Elephas maximus indicus: one gene and its partners. The protein of the gene in region 2 interacts with the protein of the main gene of each other region in a pairwise test. Links are inferred from orthologs where the notes say so. Each region holds a gene or a part of one and is shown on either strand. Other genes may lie near its edges.

Region 1 (7,411 bases), on a different chromosome or scaffold from region 2:
CAGAACAGCAGTCAGCAATCCCTCCCAAGGGCAAGGCCAAAAATATCCCCCGAGCCAAATTCCTGGCATAATGTCCTTCTTTTTAGCCCTTTCTGGAGATGTGCATTTTAAATGGGTTGCAGCAGTAGTTACCTTGGACAGGTGTTCATCAAATAAACTCACTATCAGCAGACAGAGAAGGGCCTGTGAAAAATGGGCCACACCAGGAGCAAGTTTTGACAGAACACAGGAAAAGTGCAGAAAGTCCTACTGGAACAGGTGAATGTTGAAGGCAGGAATGACAAGAAAAAAACTAAATCTGCCTCCTTTACGAATGTGCAGGCCAGAGGGTAAAGCCACTGACTAGATTTTAACTGAAAGATACGTGCTCCTGAATTACGGAAACTTTCTTCATTAAGCTCCAACATATCTCTTAAAGAAATATATGAGAAAGTCTAAGTATGTGGTGAAGGTTTTATTATAAGATAATGAATGTATAACCTAAGCCAATACCAAGCCTGAAAAATCCTGTAATTATAAATTGTATGAATAATGAAATACTCTGCACCAGAACACCCAGACCTATAAAAGAATTACATGTACATATCCTCTGTATTCAAAAGGATTATGTACAAGATAAACATACTTTCCACTACACCATATCATGTCTGAAGACCTTAGAAAATTCTATAGCTATGACTTCAAAGGTTATGAAATACTCAGTCCACCTTAAACCTAAAAAGTACCTCAGATCACTAACATCTAATTTCTTACTGACTTTAGATGTTGTAGTTTCTATTCTTCTTGTTAAAGGACTCTAGATAAGACACCAAGTAGTGATTAGTACATTAACTAAGATGATACACTGCCAAAGTGTCTCCAGCATGGACTGAAAATCTGAAAGACATGTAAGAAAGGATCAGAAATCCAATTTCCTATATGGAAGTTGAAGCATTGCTTCTTTTTTGTTCTCTCTGGAATTTTTCCACCACCCTAGGACAGAGCAGAACTGCCCCAAAGAGTTTCCAAGGAACGCCTGGTAGATTCGAACTGCTGATCTTTTGGTTAGCAGCCACAGCACTTAACCACTATGCCACCTGCGTTTCTGTCCCAAATGTAAAAATTTTGAAAATGTTAACATCTAAAGAAGCATATTCTATGGGATGAGAAATTTAAGACTTGAGAATGTATTTCAATGCTACAGGGGCAGGTTCACCAAATCAAATAGCCCTAATCTTGACTCAGCCTTTTACTTACATGAAATCTCACACTGAAAATCCTACAGATACAGAGGCTCCAAGCATTCTACCTCAAAGAAAGAATAAACCTATAGAAGAAAAAGCTCTGGACTATTCATTTCAAAGACTTAACTACTTGCATTAAGCATATTTTACACTAAAGTCCCTAAGGTTCCTTTCCGCTGAAATCGTCCTTAATTCTCTGAGTAACTGTACCAGACTATCCTTAGAACTTGAGTAATTAAAAACAGAATCTGAATGAGCAAGAGAATTCAAAATTAAAGTTATCCTCATTAAGTCTAATTAAACAGTACAGACAGAAAAATGGAAGCAGAATAAAGCATTCTGAATTAGGGACAGGGAGAATATAATGAATAGTTTGCATACTCAATTGACCTCAAGAAGGAAGCACAAAATTCAATGCAAGCTGGAGTTTGGGATATAGCTGAAAATATTTGTCTCTCAGGTAGGAACTGGCCCACCCAAACGGAAGCAAAACTTCGGCTTCTACCCCAATGCCGTCGGGTCGATTTCGACTCATAGCGACCCTACAGGACAGAGTAGAACTGCCCCACAGTTTCCAAAGAGCGCCGGGTGGAGTCGAACTGCCAACCTTTTGGTTAGCAGCCGTATCACTTAACCACTACGCCACCAGTGTTTCCTTTGGCTTCTATTAACGCTATAATCCAACTATCTGAAGTAACCGACCAACTGCAGGAAAACACCTGTCAATAATAAGGTGAATTTCCAAATTTTCAAGTGAATTCTCCCTTGCTGGCAGTTTTTCTACTTTCTATCCTAAAAGGAAATTCATTTACTCAACTCCGCGAAATGGTTACATATCTCACCCCCCTATCTTGTGACTCCAGCACTTCCAGTCCAAACAAAAGCCCTCGTTTTTATTCTCGCCACCAGTAAAGGGCTGTAGCTGTTTGCAGGGCATCCCGCAGGCACCTACGTAAACTCTCGCCTCAAACAATATCGTGGTATCACCGTGACGGACACTTGATATTTAATTAGTCCTCGACTGAAACTGATATCATCGGGAGCCGGTGAAAAGAAGCTTGAACGCCCTGCGGAGAGCCTCGGCGACAGGAGGATGGCAGTGCGGACTGGCACCTCCTCGGCATGGGACACGGGTGAGCAAGCCTTTCCGCAAGTTTCCCTTCCTTTCACTAAATTAATCTACTAAGCCTCTCATCCCCACCCCGCCCTATTAGGAGAAGTCACGCCGGCCACTCGCTGAAGGACAGGGAGACAGCTCCCGGCGCACTAGGGAAGTTGGCTTTGGCAGGGGCCGCGGCTTAACCCTTGCTGCCCAAGAGCCAGGATCGACACCGCCCTCGCCGAGGGCAAAACCGGCTGCCAACTTTCCCGCTGTCCCCTCCTCTGCGCACAGCACCCCAAACTTTGCCGTTCGTCCGCCAGCCCACCCGGCCGCACCCGAGCGCCCCCCCCACTCCCGGCCGGCGGAGGAGCTGACCTTCAAAGATAGCCCCCGGCCATGTGCGACCACTGCCCGACCGCCGAGTCTCCAGGCACCTCCCACAGTCCCCCTCCGCCGCCCCCAACCCTCGCGCGAAATTGGTGGTGGGGGCGACTGCAGCCCGACCCCGCGTATCCCGGTTACCCACGACCCTCTGGGCCAGAGCGAGCCCCCGCCCTGGCGCCTCGGGCCGCTCACTCACCATTGGTAAAGGGCTCCATTTTCCCCCCACCGCGGCTCCTTGCACCTGGAGCGCCCAAGCTTCCTACTCTGCGAGCTGAGGCGGCCCTGCCGACTGAGCATGCCCAGCGCGGCCGCCGAGGGCTGCCGGGGAGGTGCCGCGAGGGGCAGCGCCGCTCCACGAAACCTCCACTCCGGGTTTTCGCGGCGGCTGCAGAAAAAGACAGTGAGGCTTGAGGCAAAAGCGCGGCTCACGCTGGGGCCGACTTCGGGGAAAGGCGGGGGAGGAGAAGGTTAGAGCTGGGGCGGGGGCGGGGCCGGGGCAGGGCCGAGACTAGACCCGCCCCTGCCAGAAGGACCAGCGACTCTGCTCTCTCCACTAACAAGAAGTGTGTTGAGTCGCTCAACAAATGTCAGGTCCTACTGCGTCTGGCCCGGTCCAATGTGCCGGGAATCCAGCATTGCGCCGGAAAAACATGGTCCCTGCCCCGTGGAGCGTACGTTCCAGAGAGAGACAATAAACAAGCCCAGGTGACTAGTTAGACTGGAGTAAACCCCCCCGCAGAACATTAAATCAGGGTGGTGGGCTGGAGAGTGAAATTAAATCAGGGTGGTGGGCTGGAGAGTGAGGGAGTGGCTAATTCGGAAGGCGTCATGAGGAGCGGTCACGCTGAGGGGGTGCCTTGAAGCCGAGATAAGAAGAGACAGCGGGAGTCAGCGGGCGGGAATCGCTCTCTAGACGGCTAAGCTTCTGTTTCCTTGGGGAGATTGGCCCCGGAGAACTCAGTTCTCCAAGGCCCGAAAGAGCAGGCGCCACGAGTCTCGGAAGGGCTGCCCGCCTGCGGCAGAGCGACCCCAAAGGGCCGGTCCTCAGGGGACTGAAGTGGGGGGAAGCCCCATCGGCCCGGGTGCGCCCGGGTTGCCGTACTCCGCTGGAGGCTCGGGGCGTGGCCTCCCGATGCTGTCGGATCACAAAACACGGGGCGGATCGACCGGCCTGGGGCCGCGCGTGCCGCAGGATATGGGTCGGCCAGGGGACCTTAAATCAACACCTGCGGCTCCCGGGGAGTGCGGACGCTGGGGCCAGCCGCGGGGCGCTAGGCCCGGGGAGCCGACACTCCTGTAGTCGCCCGAGGCCCCCGGCACTCGCGCCATGGCTTCCAGCCCTGAGCCACCATTGTTTCCAGTTTCAAATCAAGGAAGCCCCGGCAAGCCTCTGAGACAGAACCGTTAGGGGCCGCGTTGCCCCGGGGCAGGCTCAGCTGGGCGGCTTCCTCGTCCCTTGCTCCGTCTGTGCTTCGCTGCTACCCTCGAGGCGGAGGCCGCCGCCTTCTTCCCCTCCCTCCTCCCATATCCCCGGCCCTTGCAGCGACTTGTCTCCGCTGCGCCGGTCTGCGCCTGCCTACTGTCACACGCTCCTCCGAGGCTGTCAACAGGAGGGCGTTGGATGCGAACAAGACAGCAGGGTGCGCACGGCCTGGGCAAACAGGCACGACCTGGGCGTCGTTTGACCCGCACAGGAGTTAGAAATTAGATTTCAAAGAAATAAAATTGTGGTACATAGCGGGTTGTTTTTGTAGTGCGCAGCGTTTTTGCAATATTGTATTTTTAAATGTACTACCCCCTCTCCAAAACCTCCGCTTACGCATGGAATAAAATCTGAACTCTTTGCATAACTCTGGAACTGCATCTCCTACTCTTGCTCCCCGTGCTCTTATTACAGGCCTTTGTGCCTCATGCCTTTTCTGAAAATCGCCAAGTTCCTTCCAGCATCGTTAACCACTCCTCTTGCATGTGCCTCGTGCGTGAACTGTGCCTTCTGCCTGCTACTTGGCCTGCTAGTTCCGTCTTGCTATTTACGTCTCAGCTCAAGCTCAAATGTCACCTCTACACAGAGCCCTTCCCTGACCATGCAATCTAAAATAACCACAAACACAGTCCACTCTATATAGATTTGCCCTGCTTTATTTTCTTCATAGCACCCATGGCTGTCAAACAATGTTTTTTATTTGTTAAATTATTATTTATCTCCCCCTCAGGAATGCAAGTTCTATGAGAGCAGAGTCATTACCTTTTTTAGGGCTGTACCCCAGTACCTAGATAAGCATGCAATAAATAAGTGTTGAATGAATAAGTGAATGGGTACAGTGGTATTTAGAGTTCAAGTTCACTTCCAATGCCGAGAAAGTCTCAGTGTTGAATGATGTGTTTGTGATTAGTACAGAGAAAGTGTCTGCGTGGTATGATACCTCAAAACTGCTCTCTCCCCACTGCATTAAAGATAGTAAGAGCCCTTTAGGCTGGCTCCCTGCAGGGCACTTCAGAGCGAAAAACAGAAAGTGAACCACCAGGGCTGGGGCATCTGTGTTCCTATATGATATAGTATATGCAGATCTGGGTTTTGTTAAAATGACCCAACAGATTCTATTGCTTAGATAAGAGGCTCTTTACATTTTAGGTCATCTTCCTTTGGGGTTATTTTTGCAGCCAAATCGCTTAGTATCAGAGATATTTAAAACTCCACAGCTTGTTGACTCACCTCACCTGTAAGCTACAGTCTGTCATGCTTTTAAGTGTGAAGCACGTTGTCTTGTTTTGTCTTACATGCCTCAACTCTGCAGAGACTTGTGATAAATATTTTTGCACTAGCAAGTAAGTAAATCATGTCTTTTTGAGATTTCTTTGACAAAGAGACAAATAATTTCTTTATCCTTTCTTTGTCAACCTTGTCCTCATTCCTCTGCCATTCCTACACCTGTGTGCCTGAGCACATACCCACATATTAAGGGCTATCTAAAGACTTGCGGTTTTGTATTAGAGATAAAAAGAATAAAAACCGAAGTCATTCAGAATCCTAGCTACCCTCAAAAGAACAAAAATGAATTTCATTCCTTTCATTTGTTTGTTTTTTGATACCATTTTACATTTGACTTCATAAAGCCTTTTTGAGGGAACATGATTTCACAAATTTGCTGCTAAAACACATTATGTTTCTATCTTAATCTCCTCCTATCCTCCCACACAGAATTTCCTCTTTAGTTGAAGCATCTAACACTTTAAATTATTATGACGTTACTACTAATTACCAGAGGAGATAGTGTGAATTATCTACTATACCCATCTACTATTTTCAGAATCAGTCTACTGTTTAAAATTTGAAAACCAAAATTTTGGAAGGCTAATTGTAATATATAATAAATAGTATGAAAGGAAACTTATGAGCACCCTGGATAACAAACAGCATTCATTTATGAAGAACGAGCAAACTTGCTAATCAATGAATGTAGGAACCTTTCCATCAAAATAAGGCACTTGGTTTGTCACAGATCAGCTAATCCAAACCTCATATTTAAGAGATGAGGGAACTGAAGTCTAGAGAAGTTAGGAGATTTACTCACGGCCCAGCAGCAGGTATGGAATTCAGGTCATCTGTATTCTAAGCCAGTGCTCTGGAGTTTGCTGTTGTTCCTTATTCCCACAGCGAAATTAGGGCCAATGACAATAATTCATGAAAGAGATATGGGGTAAAGAGAAATACAGCTAACTTCAGGCTACTATTCCATTCCATATCAACTTTGGTTTAGCATTATTACATCTTCTAACTATTCTGAAATAAGCAATAAAATACATTAATTCCATGCATACTTTTGAAAATGATAATATTTGTTCAGCACTCATGAGTAAATGGAGAATGCTTCAACCAGGCCCAGGGTGACCACTGTGATGTTTCCAGATACCCCAGACCTTACTTAGCCACTGCAAACACCAAAGGAGTCAATAATCTCATTGCCTCAGCAACCTGTTCTGAGTGCACACGCTTTGCGTAAATTAATAATATTTAAAGTTATACCAAATTAAGAACTATTTAGAGCGCTAAGGAAAACAAAATAAGTATCCAACATTCTTACAGAGCCTAGGAATAAGCAAAAAGCTCAGGCAAGTAAAGTGAATAGGTTATTATCAGGAAGGAAACCCTGGTGGTGTGGTGGTTAAATGCTATGGCTGCTAACTGAAAGGTCAGCAGTTTGAATCCACCGGCTGCTCTGTGGAAACTCTATGGGGCAGTTCTACTCTGTACTATAGGGTCACTATGAATTGGAATTGACTCGACGGCCGCTGGATTGATTTGGTTTGGTTTTAGTTCAGATGCTTTGTATTACAAAACCAAAACCCTAAATCAAACTAGTTTAAACAATATATGTGTATTATGTCACACAATAGCAAATCCAGAGATAAGGCAATCTCCAGTCGCAGCTCCACAATCTCATCAAGAGCCCAACTTTTCACGCTCTCTGCAGTGATGCTCAGTGTGAACACTTCTCCAAAACACCAAAGATGGCTGCAACAGGGGAGGAAGACAGAAGCTACTCTTCGGTGTCTTTCTGAAGAGCAAGGGAACTTTTCTCAGAAATCCCCCATTACGATTCTTCTTAAATCTCATTTGCCAAAACTGTATTCCATACATTTCTAAACCAACCACTGGAAATAAAAGTGATTTACTTCTTAGACAAAGCAGAGTTTCCAAATG
Region 2 (7,803 bases):
AACACTGCTGCCCCTTAAGACTCTATTAAAGTGACAAGAAAGAAATCTAAATGGTACAAATCCATAAAGGTACAGGGTGGGAAACAGAGGCATTAACTGTTCACCCTTCTCTCCCCACCTGGCTAGCAGCCAAGCACTTACCCTCAAGCCCAAACCTGAGCAAAATGTTGTTAGGTGCTGTCGAGTCAATTCCACCTCACAGCGAGCCCACGTGTGTCTAAGTAGAACTGCCCCAGAGGATTTTCAAGGCTGTGACTTGCTGTAAACAGATTACCAGGCCTTTCTTCTGAGAAGCCTCTGGGTGCGTTTGAACTGCCAACTTTCTGATTAGCAGCCAAGTGCTTAACCGTTTGCACCACCCGAGTTTCCGTCGGGGGTGACGAAAAGCTTTTGGAAATGGAGTGGTTGTGCAACATGGCGAACGTAATTAATGTCACTGAATTGCACACGGAAAAATGCCAACTATTTTATTGTATATTATTTTAGCACAATTAACTTCTTAAAAAATGAACAGGCAACCCAAGCTCATCTGCCATCTGAGGTAATTTACGTTAACAATATTAAACTACAAAGTGGAACAATTTCGGCATAAAAGATGTTCACGGGGACTATGCCACCGTGCTCCGTTTGTTGTCATAATGCAAAACGCCCCTTTTTCCTAAGGAGCACAAAGACATCAGGGAGAATTTTCTGTGAACAGAAGTTCACAGTTATGCTTTGTTATTTTTGTTATCTTAAGATAGCTAAAAAATAGCGGTGAAAGGACAGTGGGTGTCAAGGAGACCCAGCACTCTAAGGGGAGCTTAATCAGCAGTCTCTCAGACACCAAACCTCCAGACCATCCTTTGATTTTCCAACTGATTGGGATCAGAAAAGAAAAAAAAAAAATTGAGAGATTTGAAGGCAAAAGAAAGATGAGTGACTAGTGGCCGGTTTTGTTGTTTGTTTGTTTGTTTGTTTGTTTGTTTTTCTTTTGAGGTAGCCTGGTTTGTTATTAACATATCAAGATAATGAGAATTGCCGTAACCACATCTCCAGATTGATGATGCCCTTTCTTCCCATTGCCCATGATAAGGAAGGCCCCACCGTTCATGAAGAGTTGTTGCCTTTTTGATTTTTAATTTTAGATACTCTCTACTTGGCATTGCATACACTGTAAAGCATAAAACTTTTATGTTAACAGGATCAGCATTAAGAAAATCTATGAACTGTGCTAAGTCCCAGCTTCCTTCCATCAATTGTTTTTATTTCTATGTACTTTTGAAGGCATGCTATTTTTTTTTTTTAACTCACAGGATAGTATTATTATTATTTGTCTTCAAATGCTATGGTTTTCCCAGAGGCACGAACAGTTTCGTTAATTCTTTTATTTTCAGATAGATAGGTAAAATTAATAAATCAAGTAGCATACTTCATTTCTAAATTCAATATGATGTCTGTAATTTTTAAAACTGCACTCCTCTAGTCCTAATAGCTAAATTTCATTAACCCAGTGGTGACATCTCCCTCAGTCTCAGGGGCACGGGTCGCATCCTGGAGCCTGTCCTGCAGGAGCAACTTGATTTGGCTTTGGACACGGGAAGCCAGTTCAATATTTCTGGCTTATTTTCATTCACAAGCTGTCTCTGACTTGGGAGACCTTTTTCTTTTTTTCCATTGGGGGTGGGAACATTTCATCATTTACTGTAACTAATTCCCTAGAACGGTCCGGTCTCCTTTCCTCTAAAAATGATTGCCTTTTCCCAGTATCCTTTGCAACAGTGTAACTGCCATTTTTTCTAGAATGTTCCCTCACCCACATTGAATGTAGCTTAAAAGACTGGCAACAGATTTTTGTGACTCACGTGATTGGATTTCCTAATGGCCAGGAAGCATAGAAGCCTCACTTGCCTCACCCTAGTCCTGGCCCTGAAAGATTGATAGTTCAGATTTGGGGCTTTTTTTTTTTTTTTTTTTTTTTGGTTTTTTAAATAAAATAAAGTGCCATTTCACACATTCTATAGTTATACAGAGTAAAGTTATATGTACTCCCCAAGCAATATATGTTTCAGGCATTCTAGACTCCCAAGGGTTGAACTTCAGCTTACCAAAGGACGACCCTGAGCCTCCTGCAGGTCCTCCCAACCCTCAGTTTCCTGCCTGGCACACAGAAGCTTCCTCCTACCCCCACCTCAACATCTGGCCTTGGTCCACCTAGCATGGTCGACTGTAGCCCCTACAGCCAGTCTACCCAATCCCAACTCTGTCACCGAGTGCCAAAGGTCCCATACAGTACCGCTTTCTTGGGTCGGGGAGCATTCGTATTCCAAGCTGGTGAGACTCCAGTCGAGCCAGCAGCCTTTGACTCCAACTTCTGTCGCCGCTGGGAGCCAGCACCCAGGGACCGGAACCCACGATCCATCATTTCTAGGAAGAACAGAGGCCCCAGGAATAGCCATGGAGTTTGTACCAGGGCTTCCTAGGCAAAGGACACACCACGAAGAGAACAGGGCCCCCAAACCTCTTGAGGATCAAACTGCGCCATTCACCCCTGTCCAGCGAGTGACCCCAGCTCTCAGTTCAAAAGCTCATCAAGTATTTACTGAAGGCCCAGTACCGGAGAGAGAGCAATGACTAAGAGATAAGACCCCAGCAATCAAGGAATTGACTGTCTGTGAGTGTTTAAAGAGGAGTGGTTGTGCAAAACAGAAAATAATTAATGTAAGTTCAAAATAAAGAGATAGAGGCACCAAAAATGATGAAAATGGCAACATGATGGAAGGAAAGGACTACTTTTAGGAATCTAGGGAAAGAACATCCCAGATAGAAGAAATAGCAAGTATACAGGGATTTGGTATTGCTGTACTGCTGTGAGGGAGGCACAAGCTCAGGGTGTGATAAGGACAAGCATTAATGCAGAGTGGAGAGGCCGCTGTTGTGTGTATACACCACAGCCTGAGGCACTGAGGAGGGACCCTGGTGTCGTGTAGACCAAGGTCAGGCAAGGCACTAGAGGAGTGGGAGAGAGAACTGGTCTGTGCGGTCTTGTGACTCGAGTCTTCTGAATGTTTTGCAATCACTGCAGTGGTGGCTTGGACAAGGGAGAGACAAAGGGCACACACATGTGGCCCCCACCCTCCTCCCTCATGGGTTGCTCTGGGTTCAGTGACATAATGCGTAAGCTGCAAAATGCTCATATCATGAACCCCTGTCCCCTCAGCACATAAATATATGCACACCAAGGCACACACACATACATTCCCTCACACAAGTACAAACACATATATGCACACACATGAGTGTCCACCCAGGCACGTGTACACCTCCTCCAACACACACATGCCCAGGTGCCAACCACCTCAGGGAAGGGACGTTTTAGGGCATCCTCACCTGTCATCAGCTGCTCCTGGCTTGGCCCTTTGTCTCCAGGACACCGCTCTTCTGCCAAGGACGCTTCCATCTCTTCCTTGAGGCTAAGGGGGCCTCCTGCCATCCCAATCAGCTATGGCCAAGGACGTGCAAGGTGCAGGGCCCAGAGAGGCACTTGGAAATCCACCTCTTTGAAGGGTGGGAGCCCCAGAAAGATATACCCAGGCCTGGGGGTGGAGCCAGACTCCCTTTCTGGGCTCAGGCCTTGGGCCCAGCACCTTCTGTTCCTGCTGTATCTTCTTGGCTGTGTTCGAAGCCTTCTCCCCTGCTACTCTGTAAGCAACTCAGGAGAAGAGATAAGACTTCTCTGCCTGTGGGAACTGCTCTGACTCCTGGGTCTCCTGCCATGGCCCACTGGGGACGTGGCGGGGGGGGGGGAGTCCACCCTCCATCATGGTTAGGGAGAGGCAGGAATAGGGGCAAGGCCCCAAAGTCAGGCAGCAGCCAAAGCAGGGCTAGCTCCCAGGCCAGTGGTGGCTTCATCCAGTCTCCCACCCCCATCCAAGAAGGAACTCTCAGCAGAGCACACCCTGCCTCCGTACCCAGGGTGCCTATGCAGGGGAGGCAGCCTTTCTCTGACCTGGGTCCACCTGGGCAGGAACCATGAGAACCAAGGGAGGGAAAGGCAGGCCAGGAGGGACCTGCCTCTAGCAACACGGCTCCTGCATGCAGGAGGTTGGCCAGTGGCCATGTGTGAGTGGTGGGCTTCAGACCCAAGATCCCAATGGGAGGCCAGGAGGCCTGAAGCTCTTCCCCTCCCAGAGACCAGACAGTTGACCCTGGAGAGGAGAAGGGGGCCCAGAGCACATCTGGCTTATGTGTGTGTATATGTTTGCAGTTTTTTTCATACAAATGAGGTAATACGCTACATGGTTTTCTGGCACTTACTTTTTAAGCGAACAGAGGGCCTTGGGGATCTCCCCACGTCAGAGCAGATCAATCTCAGTTCTTTCAAGATAGCCCAGCTTCACGTCTGTGTATTGTTCATACACTTTGAGCTTTTGGATCCGGTGTCTTTTCTAAACAATGTAGCAGTGAGCACTCCTGGACAGGCCTCCTTGCACATATGTGCCAATGTGTTTGCAGGGCGGGTGCCTCGAATGGAATTAGAGTTCTAGGCTATATGTAAGGAGCCCTGGTGGTGCAATGGTTAAGTGCTCAGCTGCTAACCGAGGGGTCAGTGGTTTGAACCCACCAGCGGCTCCAAGGAAGAAAGGCCTGATGATCTGCCGTCAGAAACATTTCAGCCTAAGAAACCCTATGGGGCAGTTCTACACTGTCACGTGGGGTGGCTATGAATTGGAATTGACAACACCCAACAAGAGGGTATATGTGGAAGAAAGGCCTGGCGATCTACTTCCGGAAATCAGCCAGTGAAAACCTATGGAGCACAAGGACCCAACCCTAACAACAACAGGGTCTCTGTGTGTATGATTTTGACCAATATTGTCAAAGCCCCATCCAAAGAGGCTGCACACAGTGGGGGCCCACCACAGGGAAGAAAGTGTTTGCTTCTTTACGGCCTCATCAACAGAAGACATTATGAGACTTTCTAAAAGGCATCATTATGATGGGTGAAAAATGATATCTATGTTATTGTTGCTCTAATTTATACTGCTTTAATTATGAATAAACCTGAGCCATTTTTCATATGTTTATTGACCTTCTGTATTTCGTTTCCTGCGAACTATCTCCTGGAGGGCTTGGATCTTTATTAAAATAAGAGCTGTTTTATTAAGCGAAAGGGATAAGGATGAAAGCGCTCCTTCCCCTCAAGCTTAGCATCTCCAAAGAAAACATATCATCTTCTCCCCTAAAGGCAGTCGTGAGCACAGAGGCCCCACTGGGGACCAAACAAACCCAGTTAATTGCATCCAAGCTTTTGCTGATATCTAGAGGGCGTTCAGCCCCCACAGAGTCTCTCTCTGCCTGCACACCTCCCTATGTACCTGCCCCCAGTCTGGCTGCCACTCACTCTCCACTGCCCCTGTCAGCAGCAGTGGAAGGCAGAAGGGACCCAGGCCCAGGGCCAGAACTGCTGAGAGTGCCTCCTAGTCCTGGTACGGGGGGATCTTAAGCAAGTCACTTCCCCTCTCTGACGCTCAGTGGCCCCTCATCACACAGAGTAGTGGGCGAAAACTCAGATCCAGTTGTCAACTGTGTTTCATGGCTTCTGGAAGGTACATTTGGGGCTGCCTGGGCTTCAAGGCAGACCCCAGACCCTCTGCATCATAAAAGTTCTGGTTTGGTCACTGACTTATACTGGGGTCCCATGCAAGATATCATTCAAGCTGAAAGTCCTGAAGGAAAGTACAAAGCCTTTGGATGTGAGGACCCCAGGGCCTGCCTCCAGCCCTGTTCAGAGCTTCTCAGGCAGCTGCAGCTCCGAGCAAACCCAGAACTTCCAGGCACCTGGGAGCTTCCTCTACTATTATTAATGAAACTAGGAACCTGTGAACAATTCTCCCTCCTTCTCCTGGATGCAGCTGGTACTGCGGTCACCCCTCACCCCTGGAGCCCTAGGGCCCTCCCCTCAGCTGGAGAGGAAAGGGGCCCAGGACTAGCAGAGGCCTTAAAGAGACAGAGGGACAGACAGAGGGGCAGACACAAGGTCAAACCACAAGGGCTATAGCTGGCCCTGGGAGCAGAGAGAGGCAATGGGCAGTGACAAGGCCACCAAGGATGGCCCGCAGGATCGACCCCATGGGGAGAGGGCTGCCAGAAGGAAGTCACAGGGAGCCCCTTGATCTCCAGGTTTCTGTGTTGAATCAACTTACTGGGTGCTGGGCGCCAGGGATAGAAACCAGATCCCTGTCCTCACAGAGCTCATGCTCTAGGGAGCAGAGCCAAAACAGGCCAACAGGAAGGAAGCTCATGGGTCTGGAGGGAAGTGGCAGGGGCCTGTCTTTGGGGAAGTCATGCCCTTAACCCCGCCACACACTGCCTTACTGGCCTCTGTCAATCTGAGAGGGCCCTAAAGGGTGACCTGGTCCAACCACTGTCCCCTGTCATCGGATTGGTAAAAGAACCTTCCTGCTATTGAGTGGAAGCACTCTTGTGAAGTGTGGGCATGAGGCACCTGGATGAGATGCTCAGTGGCTCCCTGAGCCTCCAGGACCCTTCACGGAGGGGGCTGCCTGAGCATCCGGGGTGGGACCGAGCTATGAAGACTCCTGGGTACCTCAGGCCTGGCCTGGAGGTGGAGCAAAGAGCAGCACAGAAGGTGGAGGGGGAAGAGGAGGGCTGCCTCCCAGCTCTTTTCTCTCCGATCCCCCCTCTCTGAGCCTCAGTGGCCCCTCTTTGCACAGAGCAGAAGGCTAAAACTCAGATCGGGTTGTTGCCAACTGTGTTTCATGGAGACTTGAGCCAAGGGCACCTAGCCAACAAGGAAGAGGTGGAAAGAACAGTGCAGAGCCCAGACACTGACCAGCTCTAAAGCCGAGCTGTGAGCGAGCTGGAGGAAGACGTGGGGAAGGAAGGAACAGAAGGCAGAGGTGAGAAATGCTGTTCTGAGAAGTTGCATGACAAGTGCAGTGAGGCCAAGCCTCCGTTTTACAGATGTAAAAAGAGGGGCTTAAAGAGGGCCAGGGCATGACCCAGTTCACTTAGCAATTCAGTGGTACGGCTTGGGCAAAGACCAAGGTCTTCTGACTGGCAGCCCAGGAGCCTTGCTTGACCAACAGGAGGTCCCATGGAGGGACTGGGCCTAAAGGGTTTGGAAAACATCCTCTAACCCCATCCCTCCCAGATTGCCAGCAAAAAGGTTGCAGCTCCACTTCCTGCTCGCAAGCAGTGTACACCAGGGAGGTAGGGTGGTGAGAGCCTGGCTCTGGAGTCTTACTGCCCCCCTTGGGGTTTGAGCCCTGACTCCCCAATTCTTAGCTGTGTGACCTAGGCAATTGACTTTGCCTCTTTGTGCCTCAGTGGTCCTACCTTGAAAAGGGGGCTAAGGGGTCATTGAAGGGAAGGGACTTAGTTCCTGGTACAGAGTTTGTGCCTGATGCACATGAGCTGCTAGAACTTCCACATGGCCTCCAAGGCCTTCCTGCACTTACAAAGGACAAAGTGTCCATGCCCTGCACACGGTCGTCCCTCCCCTGGGTGTAGGATGCATCTCCAGCTCCGTCAGCAGTCTCCGTGCTTTCCCAGGCCCTCAGCTTCTCCCCCACGCCTGGACGTTTCTCTTCCATACATAAACATCTTCTTCACCTCTTTTGCCAGCACTGGGCTGTGAGCTCCATGAGGGCAGAGACTTTGTCTGCTTCCTTCTCTGTCTCCCCGCCTGCACTCAGCACAGCACAGACACATGGTAGGCACTCATTCAAGAGTAGTTGAGTTGGAAATGACCACAGCATCTTGTCTCACTCATGCTACTGTCCTTACGCTGCTCCCTGA
Region 3 (7,907 bases), on a different chromosome or scaffold from region 2:
AGCTGAGCTCTTAACCACTATGCTGTTAGGGGTTCAGAGCTGCTAAGCATATATGCAAAAATGTTCAACTCGCTAGTAATCAAAGAAATACTAATTAAAACAATAACACACTATGCTTTACTTAACAAATTAGCTTTAAAAAAATATCTGCTTCTCTCTGGCATTCTCATAAGTAACAGGTGCAAGTAAGAAGTGGCATAAAACACCGTTCTCAAAACAATTTGGCAATACTCAACAAGAGTTTAAAAATATTTACCCCCTTTGACCCCAATAAATTCAAATATATGACCCTATCCTGAGAAGCAAAATCAGAGATTCAGGCAAATTTTTAAACAGAAACACATTCTTCCACAGAAGTAGCTGAAAACAAGCTAAATACCCAACATAGGGAAATGATTAAGCAAATTATAGTACACGCATATGATGACATACAATGCAGCAACTAAAAAATATGTTTGTGAAAAAAAGTTTAATACCATGGTAAAATGCTTATATGTTAGGTAGAAAAAGGCAGGATAAAAATTCCAAATCTTGTTTTGAAGAAGGGAGGGGCAAATGAAGAAAGAGCAAATGGAAGGAAAGATGCCAAAATGAGAACAACGCTTAGCTTCAAGAAACAGCATTATGGCGTGACGAATATAATTTTATAATTTCTGAATTTTCCACAATATTCCACAATGGGCATGTTACTTTTATAATCAGAAAAAATACTTTTTATTAAAATAAAGCATAAGGTCAGAAGAATATTGGTTTTAATATTGTTCTCAATCGATTTACCAGAAAATAAATCATAATGGCCTCTTTTATTGAATTCTGGTCAGGCTTTACTAAAACAGATTAAGAAACTAAAACAGATTAAGAAACTACACAGGTCTAGGTCTGAAACCAATCAGGCAGGTAGAGTGAAACTTGATAAAATACACAGTAGTTCTCAAATGTTAGTTCATATAAGAAATGCTGACATTTGGTTAGAAATATAGATTGCTGGGCCCACCCCCCCCAAAATCTGATTCATTGACTGTGGAGTGGGGCTTGGGAATCTTCAATTTTAACAAATTCCCTCCGTGATTACAATGTTTATTGTCTAAGGGCCATACTTTGAAGAACACTGAATTAAAATAATGCCCATGGTCTGAAATTAAATGATAACTCTTCTCCACCAGGCCATCAAACTCAATGCCACTAGATGCTTCTCCTTCACTAGCAGTAGGGGCAACCTGTGAAAATCCAAAATTCTGATTAAAATTTCATGATTTTTTTCAAAGGTATTCTACCTCAGAGACTAAATTAATCCTCACCTGTCCATTTCAGCTAGATGATGATCAAATGTGTCAATCCCCAACATAGGTGTAGCACCTCAGAATTCTAAACAGTGAGGTAGGCAGAAGCTCCATTTTACAGATGAGGAAATGGAGGTTCACTTTCTCACTGTCACACTGCTAATATATGGCAGAACTGGTACTTAAACCTAAGTTCCTTGTATTCCTACATCACGTTGCTATATCAGTCCCCCAACACCAACAAGGGTCAAGAATCCACTGGTACAGAAACTATCTAGCTACTCATTTTGAACTAACAGAATGACAGCTTACATTTTTTTTAAGAGGTAGTAGTACAGTGTAGTAGTTAAGAGGATGGACTCAGGAGCCAACCGCCTGAGTTCAAGTCTTGGTTCCACCATGTACTAGCTAGGTAACCACGGTCAAGCTAATTTGCCTTTCTAGACCTCAATTTCCTCGCCTGTAAACTGTGGCTATTAATAGTATCTACCTCATAGGGTTATGTTAAAGATTAAACGTAAAGCACCTGAAAGCAATGCCTTGCAGACTCTAAGTGCTATGTTAAATATTTGCTCTAGGGTCGCTATGAGTCGGAATCTTCTCGACAATGAGGTTTTTTATTCTTTTTATTGATTACCTTCTATGGACCAAATACTTTACACACATTGCTTCATTTAAGCCTTCCAATAACCTAGGAGGTCAGTATTATTAGCTCCGTTTTACTTTGAGGAAATTAAGCCCAGAGAAGTTTAGTAACTTGTTCAATCCCCAAACTAGTAAGTAACACAGTAGGGATTTAAACTCAGGCCTAATTCTAATCACCCTGAGACAATGCCCCTCGACAAATCCAAGATTCTCACTTAAATACATAGAAAGGAAGGTCAGTCATCCCTTTGATAGGACCTGGGCTTCTTTCACACAACAAAGTAAAATATACTTAGTTGTTTGTTTTAATCAGTGACACATCCCCCAAAAAGAACTACATTGATTTGATGTTTCTCAATGTAGGAAATACCAGATGGCCCATTAACTTAGGGCATGGTCACAAGTGTCTGATTCAAATACTGAACAACGACCTTCACATGCCAGGAATTGTAGCTAGTGTTTAAGGTACTACCTAATTCCCTGCAATATCAACCGTAAAGAAATGACGAGAAGTAACTCGGAATGTGATCCAGAGATTTTTTTTTTTTTTTAAGTGGCTAGTTCCACCTGTCGGCTGGTGGCTGGAACTTTAGCCCTGAGCTGGGTTTTGTTTGGCTGAACAGATACAGGAGGGTCTGGTTCTCGGTCTCTCCACACCTACGGTTCCAGGTGAATGAGCAGGAAACTGAGGTGCAGGAGAAAAATCCAAAGCTGTTTTCACTGTCAGAGACTCAAGCCGGCTCGGGCTCGGCCTCCTCTTCCGGAATCCACCTCCACCTGTCGAACCAATTGCTCAGGTCTCCCTTCCGCCACTTAGTTCCTAAAGTGCCACTAACTAGGCCTCCTGGCTCAATACCTCCAGAGGTTTCCCCGAGCCAAAGCGGGCTAATTTCTGGGCTCAATGCTCATTCAATCCCACAAAACGCAAAGTAACTGATTCAGATCTCACCCTGCCTAACAGAAATAGGAAATGCCACCTCGAGCTCTCTCGGTCCAACTCAGCAGCCAGGTGGATCACCGTACTCTTGTCATTCGGGCGGGCAGCCCAGGCGACTGTTCCTCGCCCCTCGAGCACCCCCCCTGAGGCAGGTCAGCCGAGGGGCAAGCGCCGCCCTCGCGGATCACGGACCCCTAAAGCCGGAGGAGGAGACAGGGTCCCCGCATGCCCGCCCCTCCAGAGCTCCGCGGCTCCAACGACAGCCGGCTCCCGCCCCCACGGCTCAGGCTCGGTTTCTGTCCCGGAGTAGGTTCGAAGTCCCCAGAGCCTGGGCTAGGGCCGAGGCTGGGCGGGAGACGGGGAGCGCACGGGAAGAGGCCAGCCCCGGGTCCGAACGGCCTCGAGGAGCCCAGGAAAGACTGGGAGGGGCCGGGCCGTACCTGCCGAGCCAGCACCCGCCGCTCCGAGTGACGCCTCCCGCAGTGCATTGTGGGCCAGGGAGCGGCCTTTCCTCGGGGCCGCACCGCGTCCAACGTGGCTGGCGCCCGACGGAATCAAGCCCCGCCCCCGCTTCCCCGGCTCCCACAGACCAATCAGGTTCTGTGAGAAGGACACACTGACCCGCCCTCACCCGGGGCTCGCGTTAGTCCCGCCCCCTCCAGGGGAGATTGGCAGCGTCCCTCGCACCTGCGCCAGAAGAGCGCTTAGTTCTGTGACAAAACTACGTTGTCCCACAGAAATACGGCTAATTCCCCCTGCCTGCCGCCCCTGGTCTACAGGCAGTCTGTCTCTCACACACAGCCCTGCAGCAAACACTTACCCTGCCCCGTAAAAAAAGGGGGAAAGGGAAAAGCGCCCTGTGGGTGAGCGAGGAAAATGCCTGTCTCCATCTACCATCACCCGCAAGGAACCTAACCCAGAGAAGTGCCAGAGGCTTCTAGCCTTCGCATCAGCCATGCGTTATTAAGCAAATATTTACTGAGCGTTGACCATGTGCTATGCACCGTGTTACACATTGGGTTACAGGAGTGAACATAACACAACGGAACTTAAGGTGTAATAGGAACAACAAACATTAAAATATAAACTGGTACATGACTTTAAATTGTGAGCAGCTGTAAAAACGGTATGGAGGTGGTGTCTGACCTCCTTTGACTTCACAAGGTGTCTTAGTCATCTAGTTCTGCTATAACAGAAATACCACGGGTGGATGGCTTTAACAAAGAGAAATTTATTTTAGCACAGCTTTTTTTAGTAGGCTAGAAGTCCAAATTTAGGGTGTCATCTCCAGAGGAAGGCTTTCTCTCTGTCAGCTCTGGTGGAAGCTCCTTGTCATCAGTCTTCCCCTGGACTAGGAGCTGCTCTGTGTGAGGGTCCCAAAGACACACCCCACTCACAACACTGCTTTCTTGGTGGTATAAGGTCCCCGTTCTCTGCTTGCTTCCCTTTCCTTTTATCTCTTGTAAGATAAAAGGTGCTGCAGGCTACACTCCAAAGAAACTCCCTTTACGTTGAATCAAGGATGTGACCTTAGTAAGTGTGTTACAATCCCACTCTAATCCTCTTTAGCATAAAATTACAATCACAAAATGGAGGACAACCATACAATACTGGGAATCATGCCCTAACCAAATTGACACATATTTTGGGGGGGCACAATTTAATCCATGACACAAGGAGAAAGGAGAATCAAGATGAACCAACAGCCCACAGCTGATTCCAATGAGTTGGAGGTCAGACATGCCTTCTCTCTCTGGCATCTTTACCAACTCTGATACCAACCATTCCTTCCACGGCACTCTCTATTTCTCTGCTGGGTTCGATCATTCATTGCAATGGTCACACAGAACTGACAGACCATACTCACAACTATGGGGTTTACTAGGGAATTAACAGGTTACTATTCAGGTTTGGGAACACTCAAGGATACAGTTCTTCCATCAGGATAGCCTCTTCCCAGCTGTGCTCGCAGGCACACCTCTCCCCTGGCCCTCAGCCTCTGCCCAAAGGCACTCAGCTTATTCTCTCTGTGGGCTGGGAAGCCCACCTCGCTGACTTCTGCTGCCAAGTCTGTGCTGCCAGATCTCTGCTGCCGGTTTCTCTTGTCTTGGTGGTGGTGGTGGACAATTCTCAGGCGTGGCTCATTTCAAACCCAGCAGAACAGGAAAACTGACCAATCTGCTTGGTGGACCACAATTACCCTACCACACAGTCCTGCCCGATCACCTGGGTGGGAGTTACAAGACCATGGCTAGAAAGGCCACACAAAAGGTATCAATCACACTGCATCAGTACTATGAAGAAAATTTAGTGGATGTGATGATGGCTTAATATTGGACTGTCAGGGAAGAGCTCTCTGAAGTGCCTTTTAAACTCCAGGCATATGAACGAGCTTTTAAGAATGTTCCAGGCAGAGGGAACATTATGTGTGAGGCTATTACGGCATTAAAGAAGTGACATATTCTAAAAACAGAAAGGAAGCCAGTGTTGCCGGAGCGTAAGGAGCAAGGAGAAGTTTGGGCTGAGATGAGGCAGGGGCCAGACCATGCAAGGGCTTATGGGCCACATTATAGATTTCAGACTGTATTTTGGAATATATCCTAAGGTCAAAGTGCAGCTAATAGAGAGGGTTAAGTATGATCTAATTTACATATTTAAAAGCTCACATAAATTGTTTGTGGGAATAGATTGGAAAAGGGCAAGAGGGGTTGCTGGAAGGCCATTTTGGAGGCAGTTGCATTAGTCAAGGCCAGAGATGATGGTGGCTTGAACTAGAGTAATGACGGAGATGGAGAGAGGTGGATAATTTCAAGACATGTATAAGTTGGAGGTGGAATTCAAGGACTTTATAATGGATTGGTTTGCCAGGAACGGTGAAGAAAAGAGGACTATTAAGGATGACTCTGACTTTCTGCTTAAATAACTGGATGGATTAAGATGAACAATTCATTCACTCATTCAGGGAACATAGAAGGAGGAGCAAATGTTTTTGGATATGTTAAACATGAGATTCTTACAAGCGGAGATGTCAAGCAGATTTGGATAAGTAGTCTGGAGGTCAGAATAAAGGTCTGAACTAACTATATAAATTTCATGGTTGGGGTGTAGACAATATTTAAAGGCATGGATGAGTACCTAAGGAGACAGTGTAGAAAGCCTAGGAGAAAGGCCTAGAAGAAAAAGTAATTGAAGAAGCCAGACTAACCACATGGTCTAGTCTCCTCCATAAAAAAGTCCTAAAAACAAGCAAACAACACTGCACAGGCGGTGCCTAGTTTGTCGGTGCTCCCAGATCAGAGGTGGTGAATAGGAGTAGGGGAGAGCCATGGAGCTAATATCAGGATGATTTATTGAGATATCACAGCAGGAGGAATCAGTTGCCTTGGCCCCTCCCTCTCCACCACTTGTGCCCAAGCAGGGGGCAACAGAGGTGTCTGCCTCCGCCTCCCACCCCCCCCCACCACCCCCACTGCCTTGGGAAGAAGCACTAGGACTAGGAGGAAAAGGACTAGGACTAAAAGGCAGGGAGGCAATCCAGGTAAGTCTAAGTTAATGTTGATCTATTTGAACAAAAAAAAAGTAGTAATAAGCTGAATCTAAACTGCCAGGTGGTCTTTACATGGGAGATGGTGGGAAAGTGATTGAAGTAAAAGCATGGTAAGGTTCTCATTTTGTTTGGAGAAGAATAGATAGATTAAATCTACACACTGTGCTGGAGAAGTTTAATTTTAAATATGCATCTTAAAATTTTAAGAGTATGTGCAGACACCTTGAAACTTGCTTGTCAGTATCTACTAAAGCTGAACATATGCCTGTCCATTAACCCAGCAATTCTACTCCTAGATATATACTCGAAAGAAATGTATTCATATGTTCACTAAAAGCTGGGGATGGCATTATTCATAATAGCCCTAAACTAGAAATAACTCAATTGCCCATCAACAATAAATGGGATAAATAAATTTTAGAATATTCACATAGTAGAATACTATACAGAAAAGATAATGAACACTTATTTAGAATATTTATTTAGAAAATTTATTTAGAATATTTAGAAAATTTATTTAAAATATTTACATAGTAGAATACTATACAGAAAAGATAATGAACGATCTACAGCTACACACAAAATATGGTTAAATATCACGATCATAATGCTGAGCAAAAGAAGCCAGATACATACACAAAAAATACATGCTACATTATTACATGTGTGTGTGTTCAAAAACAGAAAAAAGATATGATGATGGAAGTTAGGATATTGGCTACTCTTAAGTGGTATTAATGTTTAGAAAGGGGCATTTAGAGGCTTCTGGACTTCTAACAATGTTCTCCTTCTTGATCTGAGTGCTAGTTTCAGCAGTGTGTTCAATTAGTGAAAATTCATCAAGCTGTACACTTATGATTTATATACCTTTGCAATATGTATTTTGTTATTCAGTAGGAAGTTTGCATTTTAAAAATGTTAAGAGTGATCCAGTCATGAATGGGTAACTGGTACCAGACTAACCCTCCTACCAAAAACAATATAAAACTGGACCAACTCTATGAAATAAGTGTTTTCAGGCAACAGACAATAGACACAGTAAGATTGTGATCTTGGAAAGAGGTAAAACAAGCAAGATTAGCCCAAATATTGCAGCAGATTTCTTCTCTGGAGGTATTTGTGGACCTAAGCACAGGTTAGAGGAAGCCAAGCAGAGTATTGTGTTCTTGGTAACTGAAGAGACAGAACTGGAATTCAGAAAGTCTGAGGCAACTGACATTTGCAGGGAGGAGTACCAGTGAGGAGAAGATTCAGAGAGAAAGTGCTCCAGAAACATGTATAAGGGTCCCCTTGAATCAGGAAGCTAGTTAAAGAACAACTCCTGGAGAAAGAACAGCTACTGGAAAGCTGTAAGCTGAACAACAACTAGAGCTTGAAGAGAGTTTGGAAATATTCAAGCTCTGATCAACTAGAGTGGAAAAACTTGATGGAACACCTGGGGCATTTGGTAGAGAGATCCCAAAAAGGCCACACTTTAGAAATAAGATTGAACTAACCT
Region 4 (7,630 bases), on a different chromosome or scaffold from region 2:
AGTACGATTCTTACAAACATAAGGAAAAAGGCTAGACGTAAAAGATAACATTCTATACGTCTCCATTTAAATAAAGTTAAAAAAACAAGCAAAATTAAAAAATGCAATTTGCTGAGGGCAACAAAGTGTCAAAACCCCTCAATTTAAAAAATTCAAGTGACAGTGGCCCTCCTTGAAATAACCAGGTGGGCTTCCTCCTTCGCCCCTGAGTTTTGCTGTCTATCCGGGTGACCAGGTAGGCACCATGTTTTCTCCCACCTCAGGAAAAACAGGTTCTGTGTGCGATGCCTGGTGAGGCCCGGAGAGTGTTTTGTATTGTCACATCCCTGTATTGACACTAGGAAAATCAGCTGCCCGCCTGCCACCCGGCCTGCACCCTAGCCACCACGCCTGCCCTCTCTCCCGCCTACCTCTGAGCCAACCAGGAACCTGGGTCCCTGCACTGGTTTGCTGACAGTCTGTGCTGCTCCCAGGGCCCAGCCCTGGAGGACAAAGGGAGGCCGAGGAAGCGGGTGCACATGGCCACTGCAGACCCCACTGTCAGCTTCCTGGAGGCTGCCGCCAACAAAACCCAAGAGCTTCCTCATCGCTGCTCGGAATTGTTCTGAGATCCACTAAGTCCGAGGCAGGGGAAGCAAGAAGCCATTAATTGTCCACAAACTTAATGCTAAAAACAGGATACTTTCCAGGGACAGGGAAAAATGCTGCTGGCTGCTTCAGCTTCAAAGCTCACTGATGGATCAAACTCTCCCAGTTACCACCCTTCGCTTGTTTCAAGAGAGACGACCAGAAGTGAAAAAAAGAGCTGCTAACAGCTCGGTGAATCCAGATGTCATTTATCTGTTATTGTACCTGGTTGTTGTTGTTGGCTGCCTGCAATTCACCGTGACCCCGTGCACAACAGAACGAAGCACTGCCTGGTCCCACGCCATCCCCAAGGTCAATTGCAGGTCAGTCCTTTGTGAGCCCGAGGGTTTTCACTGGCTAATTTTCGGAAGAGATCACCAGGCCTTTCTTCCTAGTCTGTCTTATTAGTCTAGAAGCTCCACTGAACCCTGTTTAGCATTCTAGCAACACACATGCCTTCACGACAGAAGAGTGGTGGCTGTACACAAGGCTTACTAGCCAGGAATCGAACCTGGGTCTCCTGCATGGAAGGCAAGAACTCTACCGCTAGACCACCAACACGCCCTGTTACTATTCCTGCTAGCTACCTAAAACTCGCCAGTCTCCCCAGATACTTTAAACATTTTTTAAAAATAGCAAAAATAAAGAAAAATTGTAAAACCTAACACAGGCAAGGTGTGAAGAAACCACAACTATACAAGTCCATGACCTAAAAGTTCAGAAGATAGTTTTCAATTCTCACATCCTCAGTGAGAAGGAGAGAAGAGTGGGCAATTGATGAGACGTGGGAGGAGCAGGGAGCAGTAACAGCCAGGCAGCTCACACCTGCCCCAGCGCCAGTGAAATCCAGGCCCAGCAGAAGGCTCCCGTGGCTGCCTTTCCCTGGAGGGCCTAGGGAGAGGGGGCCCACCAGTGTCTCAGATCCACTGTACCTCACTCTTCACCAAGAGATTAAACTGTGCCACTCCTGAGAATTTATTCCAAGAGCAGGCCAAAGTGCTCAAGAAACTCAACGTAAATGGAGAAAGGGTGAATGGTGACCCTAGAGGAATCACTGACAGCCACCAACACGTGGGCGGGTGTTCCTTTAGAATATGGTATTACCATCATCCCCGGTTTACAGAATGAGAAAACTGAGGCTCAGGGAGGTGCAGCAGCCTGTCCAAGGCCACACAGCTGGAAAGTGGAGAGTGCAGGCAGGCTTGGCCTGACTTCCAGGAAAGAGTTCTGGGCTCTGAGCTAGAGCAATCGTAAGGCGTTCTGGGATTCCCCTCTGGGTTTCTCCATCTGTAAAATGAGGCTTCCTGTCCTTGCAGGCGGCCAGCACCGCCGTTAGGAGCTTCCTGCCCTACCAGACCTAGCGCCGGGCTCAACTGCCCCTTACTAATGCGAGAACGATGAGGCTAACAGTGTTCCCTCCTAGGGGAACTGGAGCGAGGATTACCAGAGAAAGCCACATGCACGGGCCCCGGCCACAGCAGGTGCTCAGAAAATGTTCCAACGCCAGCAACAACAAAAACAACACCTCCCTCCTGGGGTGGATCATTCCAGCGAATATCAAAGTAGCAATTAATGGTTTACACAGCCGATTCGCAAGCAGGAGTCCAAAGCCAGACTGCGAAAGTGCAACAAGTCCCCAGCCGGCCAGGGCTTGTTGTGGCCGCGCATAGCAGGCAGCGGGGACCCCCTCCCGGGCCACTGGACGGAACGTGCCGCTTCGGCCATTCAAATGCTAAGCGCGCGAGAGCCCGTGGCTCTGTGTTGACAAAACAAGGCCAGGCCCCCACGCCGGGTTCGCGCCCCAGCTCCGCCCGCGGAAGCACCTGTGCTGGGGGCGTGGGCAGGTGCGGGCGGTGGCCGCCCCGGCTCCGGTGGCAGCCCCTGTTCCGGGCTTTCCCGTGTGCCATAATCAAGCCTGGCTCGTCGCCTCTGCAGGTCTGCGGCGGCTCGGGGTGCCTCGGGTCCCGGCGGGGACAGGTGTCCGACGCCATCTTCCCTTTTTTAGTAGACACCGGGTCTCTGCCGGCACGGCCCTGGGCTGGGATCCGACTCCGTGCCCTTGGCCCCTCCTCCCCCCCGCCAAGGCACCCCGAAATCAGAGCCCGGCCTAGGGAGGCCGCGCAGCCAGGTGGTGCGTTAGCGACCGGGCGCAGGGGCGTCACCCCACTGCTCAGATGCGGAAACTGAGGCCTGCAGGGTGGCGCAGTCGGATGACAGTACCCAGAGTCCCAAGCCAGAGAGGGGGCGCTGCGAATCCGGGGTCCCGAGACGTCGCCCCGCAGACACACCCGACACTTCTCAGGTCGGAAAAGCCTGGGCCACGGCCCCCATCGGCCACCCGCCGGACTCTGGCCGGGCGCAGGGGCGGATGCCAGCGGGGCACCGGGCACGGCCGGGGCGCCCGGGGCTCAGACTTACCTCGCGGCGGTGGCACCGGAGGCGGCGGCTGCGTCCGGGGCTCGCGAGCCGGGTAGCGTATTGTCTGCGGCTCTGCTGCCGGCGAGGGACCGTACAGGCCCGCCGGGACCCGCCCTCTCCCCGCCCCTCGGGCCCCGCCCCGACCCCAGGGCCTGCCCGGACCCGACCGCCCCCCGCAGCCCTCCACCCGGCCCCGGCCGGCCCGGCGCTCTGGGGCCTCTAGTTCACCCACCCCGCTTCGACCCCCGCCCGCCGGGACCCGAGGCCCCCAGGCCCAGACCCGTCCCGTCCCCGCCCTTCCCCCCGCCCCAGGGAGCGGCCTCCCCTGCCCCATTGCTCAGATGAGAAGACTGAGGCAGGAGTGGCAACAGAGCTGCTACAAGTGTGATCTGTTTACTTGTTTACCTTCTCTGATTCCGCTAATCTGCAAGCTTGTTTTGTCCCTTGCGCTGCTCTTTTCCCTGCGCCCAGCATGAGGCCGTGCACCCAGCAGGCCCAGAGAAATGAATGTTTGTGGAGGCCCCGGTAACTTCATCTGGGTCTGTGTAGATCAATCAAGGCTCGTGCCACGGATCGCCTCGCTTCGTCCTCAAAAAAGTCCTAAGGGATCGGGGCTTTTTCATGTTTATTTTCCCGAACAAGAAACTGAGGCACAGGGAGAATGAAATGACTGGCTTCATGGTAAGTGATTTCAGCGCTCAAAACGTCGTACTTTCTGTGCAGACACCTTCAGGAGTCTGGACTTTTTAAAGCCGTTTCACACAGGTGGAAGCTGAGGCTTGGGCTAGAGCCAGCATCAAGCACCCCGAACCAAAGCCTGGGGGCTTTTCTCCACCCTGCCCGCCTCCCTCCCGCCCCTGTGCAGGCTTCAACCGCAGCCCCCCTCCCGCCCTGAGACTCGCGACAGCGGGAAAATAGGGGGCGATTAGGCACCGGGCGGCCCACGTGGGGGCCGGGATGAGACAGTGCCCACAACCTCGCCAAGGAGGAGAAGTCAAGAAAGGTCCAGGCCGGACTAGCCCTGGGGTGGGGAGGGTGCCGAGCCCCCAGGCCAGGAGCCCTGCAGCGGAGGCTTTGGATGGGTGGAGGGGTGACGGGGTAACAAAGTTACCATTGTCCCGGGAACACAACAACAAGCTTGTTTACCGCACAGGCCAGGCATCCACAGGGTCTCGCCTCCAGCTGGCTTCGCATTTGCTACCTGTAGGGGCCTCATTCTTAGCGCCTTTGAAGTGATGACACTGATAACTCCTCTCTCGGGGTCTTCATCTGTGAAAGGGGCCTGGCGCTGCCCCTGCAGGGCTGTTGGGAGGATCAGAGGAAAATGTTTAGTAAACTGGAGGGGAGTTTAAACGTCAGTGCCCCTCCCTGGATCTCGTTCTTCAGACCCCTTTCCAAGCCAAACCTATAGTGTGTCTGTAATTTTCTGCACCTTTTTGATGTGGTAGTGCTTAAGAACTCAGCTGCTAACCAAAAGGTTGGCAGTCCGAATCTACCAGCTCCGCTCCTTGGGAAACCCAGGGGACAGTTCTGGTCTGTCCTACAGGGTCACTGTGAGTTGGAATTGACTTGATGGCAATGGGTTTGTTTTTGTTTATTTTTGTAAAGAGGAGCCCTGGTGGTGCAGTGGTTAAGAGCTGGGCTCCTAACCAAAAGGTCAGCAGCTGAAATCCACCAGCTGCTCCTTCGGAACCCTATGGAGCATGAGTCTGAATCCACTCAATGACAAACTTTTTTTGCTTTGTTTTTTGTAAGGAGGGTCTTCCAAATTACATAAAACTCCAGGCCCGCAAAGCCTGGACGGCCTCAACCCCTTGACTGGACCATAACCACAGGGCACCTGAGAGGCAGGAACAAGGAGCCCTACAAAATAGTAACCTCTCTCTACACCCATTTTGCAGATGAAAAAATTGAGACTGAGAGAGGGAAAGCAGCGATTCGGGGTCTCCTGGGCCAAGAAGCCTCAATGTATGTGAGAATACTTCCAGAGAGATCAGAGGCTTGGTACCACGCACACAGTTGGTGCTCAGCAAACATGCTGAGAGCGTTGGTCTAGAGGAGCTGCCTTGGGGGGCCTCTGGATCCTGCCAGCCCCAGCCGAGCCCCCCTGCTGTGGCCCCAACAACATCTGTCTGTTGTTCAGCGACCCCTGCCCAGTGGACCCTCTGACGCCCACTACAGGTTGGGTTTTGTCCTTGCTATGACTTCATCTGTCCATTTCATTGCACAAATATTGATTGACCTCTACTATGGTGCCAGACACGGGGGTTGGTGATGGGACTCGTGAGATGGCATATGCGAGTGGCGGACAGGAAGATGGGGCGCCTGCAGCCAGGGGAGCAAGGCCTGGCACAAGCAAGGCCTCCATGAAGGAGAGTGAAGCGCGGTAGGGGGTGGAGGGGAGCAAAGGAGGGGGTGGGGTAGAATGGACAAAGAGGGCTGGACAAGCACTTGTTGGCCAAGTGCTGGTCTCACACTCCAGGGCCCCACCTAGGGGGCAGAAGCCAGTGCAGGTTTTAAATGGCTCTGTTTTTGCCATCCCAGCCTTGGGTTGACACCTTATCTGGAAATCCCCCTGCTCCCCGGCTTTGGGGAGGCTTTGTGGAGGCTTTGTAACATCAGGAAGGCGGGACTCATGAAAGGGCTTTGCTGTTCTCACCTAAGCAGGGCCTGAGCCTCATGATAGCATTTCACCTGCGTCAGCCTGGTGGACACCTCCTGGGGACACCTTTGTGGGGTGAGCTGCTATTGAGAGCCCAGTGTTTTGGGCATGTTACCTGGGTGATTTCTTGTGCCCTTCATGGCCCTTGCAGGGTACGAATGATTCTCTCCATTGCACAGATAAGGAAACTGAGGCTCAGAGAGGGGCCTAACCTGTCCAAGGCCACACAACCAAGAGGTGAAGTGCTGCGGTTCGAACCCAGGGTGTTCTGTTCCTGGGGGACAGGGACTTGGGGGCCTGTAACTGGGCTTCCAGAAGTCTGTGAATTCCAAAAGTAAAGTGAAATTGCGGTTGTCATATAAGCCTTTTCTGGGGAGAGAATCTGTAGCCTGATGGGTGAGGGCCAGAACTCTGCAGTCACTTGGCACCTGTAATTCCAACTCTGCCACCTAGAACGTCTGTGACCTTGGGCAAGTGCCTGGGCCTCTCTGAGCCTCAGTTTCCTCATCTGTAAAATGGGGATAATGATTTTCCACTCCCAGGGCTGTTCTAAGGATTAAAGCAGAGCATGGGGCCTGGCACACAGTAGGTGCTCAGTAAATGCAGAGCAATGCTCAGTAAATGTTACTGTAGAACTGGTGAAGAGTTATCATGTCCACAAAAGAAACTATACCTTAGAGACATGTGGTCTGTTAAATGAAATAACGCATTTCACAAATCAGTGTGTCTGGTGGAAACGTGTATTTTTTAAGTCCACATATAAAAACTCGGGAAGGAAATACAGCTCCACAGAACAGGAGGACTGTTACTCTCTGGGTACAACGATTACAGGGGGGTTAATTTTCCGCCTTGTGTTTTTCTGTATTTTCCGGATTTTCTATATAAACGTGTATTTACTTAGTAATCAGAAAACATCTTTTTTGGGGGGGTGGGGTGGGGAGTGTCTTGTCTCAGGGCTGAGCTGAGCCAGAGACAATGGCAAAAGCTTAGTTTCAAGTCAGACAAAGCCAAGACATAATACAGAGCAGGATCGAGACTGAAAGTGACCAAGACCTCAGGAGACAGAAAACTAAAATCTGGCTCCGGAGACGGTGCAAACATATCAGGAAAGGCTTCCTGGAGGAAGAGGAACTTGAGGGGACCTTGGAGAAGGGGCTGGGTTTTCACCAAATGGTATAGGGAAGAAGGGCATTTCAGGTTGGGGAAACAGCAGGAGCAAAGAAAGCGTTGGGTGAATTTGGGAAGCTGCGAGCATTTCTGGAGCCCTTTTTTTTTTTTTTTAGTGGTGCACTGGTTAAGAGCTCAGCTGCTAACCAAAGTCAGCAGTTCGAATCCACTACCTGTTCCTTGGAAACCCTGTGGGGCAGTTCTACTCTGACCTACACGGTTGTTATGAGTCGGAATCAACTTGACAGCGACTGGGTTTGGTTTTTGGTTTGGAGCATTTCTGCTGGTAAGAGGAAGAGAGGAGTAAGAGATCAGATGGAAAGGTGGATTTGACTAGATTGTCCTAGGGGCACTGGGGAGCCATGGAAGGCCTCTGAGCAGGAGAGAGGGACTGGATCCCAGCAGTCTTCAGTAAGAGGAATCCGGTAGCCATATGGAGGCGGACTGGAGAGGAAACAATGCCCTTAGTCTCTGACACTGCCCAGGGCTCCTGAAAGGGGCATCCCAATAGCTGCTCATCCAGCTGCCCCTCTGCAGCTGGCCAGGGCAGCTCCTTCACTTTGTGCCCTGCACATCTGGCCAGCAGCTGATGTCCACAGTTAGTGAGGCCCTTTGTGGACAGGGATGTTACGCACAGAGCGGCTGGGAACTTTATTACATCCCATCTTACACGTGAGGACGTGGAAACTCAGGGAGGTGTGGATATTGGGCAGAGAGGTGTGGGGCCTTCTTCCCAGTGCGTCAGCTTGAGTGTGG

The links.
Region 1: the proteins of FATE1 (region 2) and LNPEP interact in binary tests that used the Homo sapiens proteins (3 or more experiments, as listed by UniProt). The two-hybrid records come from large-scale screens. The link is inferred for Elephas maximus indicus from reciprocal best matches to the Homo sapiens genes FATE1 and LNPEP.
Region 3: the proteins of FATE1 (region 2) and SEC22A interact in binary tests that used the Homo sapiens proteins (3 or more experiments, as listed by UniProt). The two-hybrid records come from large-scale screens. The link is inferred for Elephas maximus indicus from reciprocal best matches to the Homo sapiens genes FATE1 and SEC22A.
Region 4: the proteins of FATE1 (region 2) and BIK interact in binary tests that used the Homo sapiens proteins (3 or more experiments, as listed by UniProt). The two-hybrid records come from large-scale screens. The link is inferred for Elephas maximus indicus from reciprocal best matches to the Homo sapiens genes FATE1 and BIK.

What each region holds. Positions count from the first base shown.
Region 1 is NC_064820.1:104,522,060-104,529,470, reverse strand, and holds the start of LNPEP (leucyl-cystinyl aminopeptidase), read right to left. Parts: upstream 3,089-7,411; 5' UTR 2,925-3,088; coding exon 2,906-2,924; intron 1-2,905. UniProt on the Homo sapiens protein: Release of an N-terminal amino acid, cleaves before cysteine, leucine as well as other amino acids. Degrades peptide hormones such as oxytocin, vasopressin and angiotensin III, and plays a role in maintaining homeostasis during pregnancy.
Region 2 is NC_064846.1:4,707,425-4,715,227, forward strand, and holds the start of FATE1 (fetal and adult testis-expressed transcript protein), read right to left. Parts: upstream 3,473-7,803; coding exon 3,370-3,472; intron 2,407-3,369; coding exon 2,250-2,406; intron 1-2,249. UniProt on the Homo sapiens protein: Involved in the regulation of endoplasmic reticulum (ER)-mitochondria coupling. Negatively regulates the ER-mitochondria distance and Ca(2+) transfer from ER to mitochondria possibly implicating it in the regulation of apoptosis.
Region 3 is NC_064819.1:14,015,572-14,023,478, reverse strand, and holds the start of SEC22A (vesicle-trafficking protein SEC22a), read right to left. Parts: upstream 3,372-7,907; 5' UTR 3,303-3,371; exon of another isoform or gene 2,875-3,302; intron 1-2,874. UniProt on the Homo sapiens protein: May be involved in vesicle transport between the ER and the Golgi complex.
Region 4 is NC_064822.1:187,371,854-187,379,483, reverse strand, and holds the start of BIK (bcl-2-interacting killer), read right to left. Parts: upstream 3,107-7,630; 5' UTR 3,046-3,106; intron 1-3,045.